Daphnia pulex: one gene and its partner. The protein of the gene in region 2 binds, or shares a complex with, the protein of the main gene of each other region. Links are inferred from orthologs where the notes say so. Each region holds a gene or a part of one and is shown on either strand. Other genes may lie near its edges.

Region 1 (3,791 bases), on a different chromosome or scaffold from region 2:
GCTACGACCAAGACTGAAGCTCGGAGAAGAGCGGCTGCGTAGGTACTTTCAAAAGACGAAAAGAGATGTGATGTTTTCTCGTCTCGTCGTGCGAGCCAATGGCCAATGGCTTTAGCAGTGGTGAGAGAGAGAGAGAGAATGAGACGGCAAAGAGAGAAGGTCTGGATAAACTGGGAATCAAAAAGGAGGAGACTAAACACAAGAAAAAAGAGAAGAGAGAAAGCCCCGAAACATAGACAACACGGACAACAGGGCACACCTGAAAACGGCCGGCCCACTTCGTGCCGTGACCTTCCTCCCTTCTCTTTCGACACACTCAGCCAAAGCGCCATCTGGCCATAGCGCACTCGACACACTCAACAGAAACGACCCCAACGCCTTTTCTTTCTTTTCTTTTTCTGCTGCTGAACAACAGAAGAAAAATGATTTGAAGGCAGCCAAGGCCGGAAAGGGTGTCATCTTCCGGATAGAATTTTCCGATTCAACCACGACGGACGATTCATGAATAGCCGCACCTCCTCTACAACATGGGTTGGGCAACTTTCACGAACTGCTGGTAGAGTCGCGACTCGGAAAATGTGCAAAGTGTTGACGCCATCCGCATGGAATTTCCTCCGCGCGCCTCTCGTTGAATCTGAAAAAAACCCTGCAATTTTGAATGTTGATGGATGGGCCCCATTCCGTCGAGGTAATAAAAAGGGAAATGTTAAGAACAAGGACAGGCGTCATTGGCTACTAAAAGTAATTGCATGGCTTTATTCAGTCAAGGTAAATTCATCATCGGAATCACATGTCGGATACACTCCATTTGTAGGCTTCCTCCTGAAGGGCCACGGCGTTGTTTTGTTTTTCAAAGTACATCTTCTCGTAGCCAGTCGAGCGGTCAACCCCGTCCCATCTGTAGCCGGGTAGTATACCGAAACGATTGGGAGCAGCAGCAGGGCCCCTGTAGACAGGTCTAGCGGCTTTCCCCTTGCCGTCACCACCGCTCTTGACCTTTTTCTTGGCCATGTAAGCAGCCATGGGATCACCTTCACGATCTTGTTCGCGTAACAACCTTTCCAAATCTTCGTCATCGGCGAAACGAGCCAGCGGTTTGGACATTTCGTGAATGGCTTCGGCAACTTGCGTCGAATGCGTTTCTCCTTGTTTAAGACCCTTGTTCCATTTTTGGTAAGCTTCTTGCAGCTTGGCAATCTTCTCGGCTTTTTCTTTATCAACCTGTTGCTTGGCTTCAATTTGGCGCAGCTTGCCAGCTCGGATGGCAGTCGTGGCGTTCTGCCCAGTGAGTGATTTGTCCATTTTGCGGAAGGCTTCCTCTTCTCTCTTGCGTAATGCATCAGTCTCCTCACGCAAAGCTCTGCCAGTCTGAAGGCCGGCCATCTTTCCATCTAGGGTTTTGGTCAGTTTCTCCGAAGCTCCTCCGCTGCGTGATGTTGATTTATTAGGACGCTCAGGGCTGAGGTCTCCGTCTGGATCTGGTTTGATGCGCATTTGGGCACCGGAATCAACGTTTTTCTTCCGCCGCGGAGGACTGAGATCACCGTCAGCATTTTGATGCTTTCTTGGTGGACTCTGGTCGGAATCGGAGCCTTTACGCCTTCTTAATGGACTTTGGTCCGAGTCTGAATCGTGTCGCTTTCGTTGTGGGCTTTGATCCGAGTCTTTCCTTGTTCTTCGAGGAGGACTAGCATCTGAGTCTGAATCGTGACGTTTTCGTGGTGGGCTTTGATCAGAGTCTTTTCTCGTTCTTCTAAGTGGAGATGGATCAGAGTCTGAATCATGGCGCTTTCTTCTAGGTGGGCTGGCATCTGAATCAGAATCGTGTCTTCTACGTGGAGGACTGGGATCTGAATCTGAATCATGTCTTTCTTTCTTCACTGTGATTGGTCGTTTCAAGGCAGTGGAATCTTTCCTTGGTAAGTGACTGTCACTTGAATCAATATCTCGATCACTTGATTTAGACATGGATTTTGGTTTGTCATTTTCATCCACACCAAGTCTCTTCCACTTTGAACTTTCCACAAAGTCTTGTTTGGTTATCATTTCTATGGAACGATTATCGACAACCCCAGCCACCAGAGGAGCATCTTCTTGGTTGTCAATTTGGTCTTCATCTTTCTCGTATCCTGCAGCTATCTTCCTCAAATCTATTTCTTCATCAACGATCTTGATGCCCCTAATAAGTAAATGAAAACAAATTGACTAGATTAAGAAAAAGCTTAAGTTAAAATTAAAAAATGATGTGTATTGTCTAAAGTTCACAAAAAGCCTGACTTACCCTTTGGCTTTCAGTAAGGGCCTGAGTTTCTTTTTCTTGACTTTATTTTCTTCTTTTTTCGAAGAGGACATGTACTTTTTCAGATATTCTAATTTGCTCATAGGAGCACTCATTTTTACAATAATTTCAGGGGAATATTTACAAACCGTAATCCCTCGCGTTTGTCAACGCTTTCACACGAAATATGAATACAAGCTCCACCTATGGTTAACGCGTGAAACTATACACCATCTATCGGGAAGTTTTCAAAATAAAAAAAATTGTTTAAAAAAAATAGATTTATGTAATAGCGATTTTAAAGAAATGTATTCATTGCCTATGGCGTTTACATTTTTTACAAGAGTCACCCGTCAGTTAAGCATGCGACCTGTCTTGTGTTAAACCACAAGCAACCGATGGTCTGGTTGGCTTGTCAAATCACCTTAGTTACTGTCCAGGTATTTGCGTGCCGCTGCATATGGAACACGCAATCTCGAACCCGACTTTCTACCCGCACTTCCCGTGCTTTCATTGTCATATTTTCAGCTATTTAATAACCTGTTTCTTTTCAAACCGTCGTTATTATTTGAGGTACAGTAAACGAGAACGGAAGGGTGTGGAGAAGTGATCGCAGCGAAACGATGGCGCAAAAACCCAACTGGATTTTAATTTGCACGGCTTCTGTAATTTGTCTTATCATAGGTATCGTAATCATTTGAAATGTTACTGTATGTGTTGGTTTGACTTCATCTTTCCACCTGACAAAGGAATTCTCATCGGTCGTTACGCTATCGGAAATGATAGGGACGACGTGTCGCCTCAGAAGGCGAAAATGTCTGCCACTTTGATGGAGGAGCTCAGTGCATCAAATATTGGCGAATATCTCAAGTAAGTCCAACATCATCGCTAATCAAAAGACAAATTTGATTCATTGTCTAATTAACTCCCAAAATGATTGTCACAGATATTTGAGCAGTATACCGAATTTAGCTGGAACTCCACAGGATTTGGAAGTGGCTAGTTGGGTGCGCGATCGTTTCGTCGAGGGAGGATTAGACGAAGTCCAATTGGTTCCTTACAAGGTGCTGCTTTCCTACCCAGACATGAGCAACCCCAATCAGGTCTCGCTACTCGACTCCAACGGCAAGGTGAACTTCACCACCTCAGGACGTCAGACGCCACTCTTTTCCAGCGAAGAATTCTCTCCGTTAGTTCAACCCAATTTTAACGCTTATTCAGCTAACGGAACTGTCGAGGTGAAATTAAATTTCTATCGTTGTTTTATTGATGACACTTAACTTAATTACACCATTTCATAGGGGGAACTCATTTACGCAAATTATGGTCGGAAACAAGATTTTGAGTACTTGAAATCTCTCGGCATAGACATTCGTGGTCGAATTGTGATTGCTCGATATGGGGCGATTTTTCGTGGCAATATCGTAATCAATTATTTTTAAAAATGTATTGAATTATTACTAACATTTGATATTTGTACTACAGGTGAAATCCGCCGAAGATGGAGGAGCTC
Region 2 (4,534 bases):
ACATTTCAGTCAGTTTAAATCACCTGTCTCGTTGAATCGGAGAGCGACGACGTTCCGCCGACCGGTGTCGAACGGGTGACTTCCTCACGGGCGAACGGCGTGGTGAAGGACGCCGAGGAGAATGATTACGAACAGGTGAACGCCTGGGAGATCTTCGAACGGGCGACCTGCGGACCGGTGACCGACGAACAGGAGATCTGCGGGCTGGGGACCTTCGAACTGGAGATCTCCTAGCGGGAGAGCGGCGAACGGGTGATCGTCTAGCTGGCGAGCGACGAGCGGGAGATCTGCGTGCAGGAGAACGGCGAGCTGGGGAGCGACGAACAGGTGATCGACGTGGAGATCGACGAGGCGAGCGCCTTGCTGGCGATCTGGCAGGTGAGCGACGACGAGGCGGTGGCGACGCCTTGCCTCGATTAGGAGAACGACGCTCCAATGAAGGACGTCGGCCGTCACGACGAGGTGAAGAGCGGGGATTGTCTCCTTCCTTCTTGATCACCCTGTCCTTGTTGGGGCTACGGCTTCTATCTTTGGAAGCTCGTTTGTCAGTACGGTCGTTGCGTTCCTTTTCTCGGTCAGCGCGCCGATCCCGGTCGGCCTTTTTGATTGCTTCCTGGATTCGATCTTGTTCTTCCTGCAAACCAATAAAGACGAAAATGATAGAAACAAAACTAATACCGCGAATTATTTCCGATGGTTGCATACCTTTCTTAATTTGATTTCTTCCTTCTTCTGTGCCATAAAGACCTCCGGAATTCCAGCAGACGATTCTTGGGCAGATAGTAGAAGATCCCACAATTCAGTCATCAGAATCCTGGCATTCTTGCCGTTGAGGAATCCAGTTAAATTGATTTGCATGCGACGAGGGTCAGGGTTCTATAGGTTTTAAGAAAAAAAAAAGACAAATAACAGAAAAATCAAACAACCGAAATGGAAAAGAGATACTTAAGTAAACGGACACAAATAGATTAGGTTTCGGTATGATCTCGGCGGATTAAGCGAGCAATACCTTTCAGGGGTTTGCTCTTTAAAAGGATAAGCTGTTTTACGTAGTTTGTTTTGGTTTGTTATTCTTGCCTGAGAGCTCGACCAGAGTGACAACAGAAAAAAATCTCTTATTTCTTTTTTTCCAATCTGGGCGTTGAGGGAGAACCGAGTTTCCCATCCGTCATAAAAACACCGGCGACTCGGTATCAAAGAGACGACCACGAAGCGAGCGGCACAGGAGTTGTCCTGTCGACTGTACCGCCCAGCTATTGGGTCGTCATCTGACTAGTCCTACTCCTGATGGCTACCCCGGCACCACGATGCGATCGATCAGGTGATTTTTAAAGATGGGATGGTCTGTCGTCATCTATCAGGCAAATCTAGCAGCTTCGACCACGTTAGCGAACGGCACAGGAGTCTTATCTCTGTCGACTGTACCGTCCTGCTTTTTGGGCCGAGACGAAAGGATCTCTTCTTCTCAGCTTCTCAACACGGATTCCTGAGTAGGCCTACTGCGATCAGAGCCCGACTTAACCACACAGGAGTTTTCCCTGTTGTCGACTGTGCGGTTAACTATCAACTGGGGGAGAAGGCGTTGCATTGGCTGGGCGAAAGGCGATCCCAGAATTGCCTCTCATGACTCGATGGTTTAGAACGTGCCGTATTCCATCATTTCGCAGGAGTGAATCCTTCATCGGTCGACTGCGAAACGTTGGAAATCCAAATCCATAGACATCGTGGCCGACGATAAGAGGAATCGTCCACGGAACAGGCCGAAAGGTGAATCAATTCGAAGAGAAGACCTCGAAATAATGCGACCAGGTCTCGGTCGAGAAAGAATCCTTGCATCCATCATGTCAAGGTGGTGTGTGTGACATGGTGACAACAAGGCTTTGATGCAATTCCACATTAAGTCTTCATAACACAGGACCCAAAAGTGTACAAGATATTGAGATGAGCATGAGCACAGACAAAATATAATCAAAGCCATCTGGGTGGTGAAAACTTAAATCATAACTTATCTTTCACATTAAACCAAATTACAAACAAGAACCAGATGCAAAGGAGCTGACGTTCAATCATTCTTAGTATGTGATGGCTATTTCAGCCTGATATTAAAAAAATTGCATAAGATAAACAGCAGAATGATTGGTGAAAAGCTTTGGTGGCAAATGTTTCCCATAAGATAAATCTACACGGCTGAGATTAAAAGGATATTACCTTGTCAGCTTCGAGCTGATTAAAAACATATTCCACCAGGACGTCATCTTCAATTCCTCCCATAAGTTCTGTAATTTTGGTTGTGATCCATGGTTTGATGGTTTCCAACTTAACTTTGCTCATATCCACCTGAATTTTTTAACATGCATTAATGAATATTAACATGTAACTCATATTGATGTTGTTAAAGTTGCACAGGTGATCAATAATTTACCTTTCTAGTCACATTTTCAGCAAATTTGATAGTCTTCAAAAGCTTCTTCTCTTTGTCACTAAATCTATTGTCTTGCTCAGTTGAGGTGCCCTGTTGAAAGAATTCAAATATTACAATGCATCCCATCAGTTAACAAAACAGATTTCACAACTGATGAAGCAAGAATTTTACGACCGAGTTGGCGTGTCGAGATGCTGCAAACAATTCAAGGGAATAATAGTTCTAACTTGGGTAATTATTAACACTTACTCTGAAGAAACCGGCATCAGTCATTGTGAAAGAAAAATACCTCAAATCGAGGTAATTCTATAAAAGTAAAAATAAATGGGAGAATAAAGCCGGGCTAAACTCAAGTCTTAAATGGAGGACCCCTAACTCAATTGATCGCCTTCCCTCTTGTCCCTTCAGTCAGGAAAATGGAAACAGCATTGCCAGTTTAGAAAAATAAATCGACTGCTGCATATGCATAGCGCCAGCTCCTGCCAGCGCTTCTGAAAGAAAAAAAGGACAAAACATATCAAATATGGGTTACGCTACGCATAACTAATTTTCTTCGATGACAAAATCAATTGGACGAATAACGGGAAAATGCCAATCTAAGGTTTCCTCTCAATTTATCGACGCGAAATAATGTATCCCGAAATCATGGCGCGTCCAACCGGTTAATTTGACTATAAGAAAAATGTCGTTTTTTCAGTTGAAGCCAAAATTGCAAGGAACCTGTTTTGTCATTTGATCCTGCGAGTAGGTAGCAAACGGTCACTGCTTATTAAGTAGACTTGAGCTCCTTGAACTCTCTTTGCCTTTATAAAATAACTGTACGACCGGTGCAACTTTGTCCCCAAAGGCTTTTTTTTTTTAAGTGTAATAAGATAACCATCAAAAAGTATAAATCAACCACAGACAGAAATGGTTGAAAAGAAGAAAAAAAAATGAATTAAGAAAATAAAAGGCTTTCTTGTTGGTTGACTGACTACATCCCTTTTAGCTTGAGCTGGCATGCGCGCACCTTTTACGTGACCGCTAGGCTATAAGACGCGGCGGTGTGCACAGGTAAAAAGCGTCTCTTCCTTCCCAAACAAAAAAAACTCCAATCCTCAAGAAAAGGGAAGAAATAAATTAGCAGCAGCAGCAGCAGCAGCGAAAGAAGAAGAAGAAGAGCCCAAAGGTATATAATAATAAAGGTGCATATAGAGGGAAAGAATGTGAATGAAGGAAGAAGAAGAAGAAGAAGGTAAGAAAAAGAGCCCCTGGAGCATAAAGGCAACAAACTGTATTTGAGAAAACCTGGTTGGATGGAATTGGTTAGAGGGGGGATTGGGAGGTAAAGTTGTTGCTTCTTCTTCTTCTTCTTCTTCTTCCCATCTACCAGCAGAGACTGTTTTTCAAGGTGTGCAGTGCCAGTGGGTATTGGCGGAGGCCATGGAACAGAAGCAGAAACCAGGCCTTCTTCCAGGCTGACTCTTTCTGCTGCTGTGTCAATTCTCATTCTCACCTGACGACTGAACATACAACAATCGACATTGCCCTGCTAATTGTGTCAAACAAATTAAACTAATCAAGTGCATTTTACCAATCGATTTCGAGTTAATAGTGCGTGTGTTAGTGTGTGTTGAGTGTCTGGTGCACACCTGAGTCATGGCTTTCTTGTGTCCAGTGAGGATACGCCGAGGCAAGAAGAAAAAAGGTAACAAACTTGTCCAATTTTTCCAGACGTATACCAGGTTGAAAAAAAAGTGTTCAGCAGACGGACTAGATACCTATAGGCGTGCATATGCATATAGCAGGAGGGCGGCCATTGTTCTCGGGAAGGTTTTTTCGTTCGGAGCATCCACACACATACATGAGAATTCTTCTTCGTATGTTTAATTGTCGTGAAAGGAGGGTAAAAAAAAAAAGAAAGAAAAGAAAAGCCCCTTTTGCTATTTTTTTCGAGTCTGTGCTCGTTATCGTTTCCGTTTCTTTTTTTCGGGGGGGATTTTGTTTTTTCACACACGCAGTGAAAAGGCAAAGAACTTTTTTTGAAACGACCAGGTTGAAACGACGACGCCTCGAGCCATGCAAAAACTCTTTTTCTTTTTAAAACTGGTAAAAAAACCAAATTCCTTAAGA

What was found.
Region 1: serine/arginine repetitive matrix protein 1-like (region 2) and BUD13 homolog share a complex: the UniProt entries of both Homo sapiens proteins name them as parts of the minor spliceosome. The link is inferred for Daphnia pulex from reciprocal best matches to the Homo sapiens genes SRRM1 and BUD13.

What each region holds. Positions count from the first base shown.
Region 1 is NC_060019.1:12,606,385-12,610,175, reverse strand, and holds BUD13 homolog, read right to left. Parts: upstream 2,418-3,791; 5' UTR 2,395-2,417; coding exon 2,282-2,394; intron 2,180-2,281; coding exon 787-2,179; 3' UTR 734-786; downstream 1-733. Other genes in the region: glutamate carboxypeptidase 2-like, read left to right, coding at 2,902-2,962, 3,028-3,148, 3,225-3,516, 3,580-3,702, 3,764-3,791. UniProt on the Homo sapiens protein: Involved in pre-mRNA splicing as component of the activated spliceosome. As a component of the minor spliceosome, involved in the splicing of U12-type introns in pre-mRNAs.
Region 2 is NC_060027.1:2,459,794-2,464,327, reverse strand, and holds the start of serine/arginine repetitive matrix protein 1-like, read right to left. Parts: upstream 2,845-4,534; 5' UTR 2,696-2,844; coding exon 2,672-2,695; intron 2,513-2,671; coding exon 2,423-2,512; intron 2,338-2,422; coding exon 2,209-2,337; intron 1,896-2,208; exon of another isoform or gene 1,078-1,895; intron 877-1,077; coding exon 706-876; intron 635-705; coding exon 24-634; intron 1-23. Other genes in the region: SH3 domain-containing protein Dlish-like, read left to right, coding at 4,061-4,109. UniProt on the Homo sapiens protein: Part of pre- and post-splicing multiprotein mRNP complexes. As a component of the minor spliceosome, involved in the splicing of U12-type introns in pre-mRNAs. Involved in numerous pre-mRNA processing events.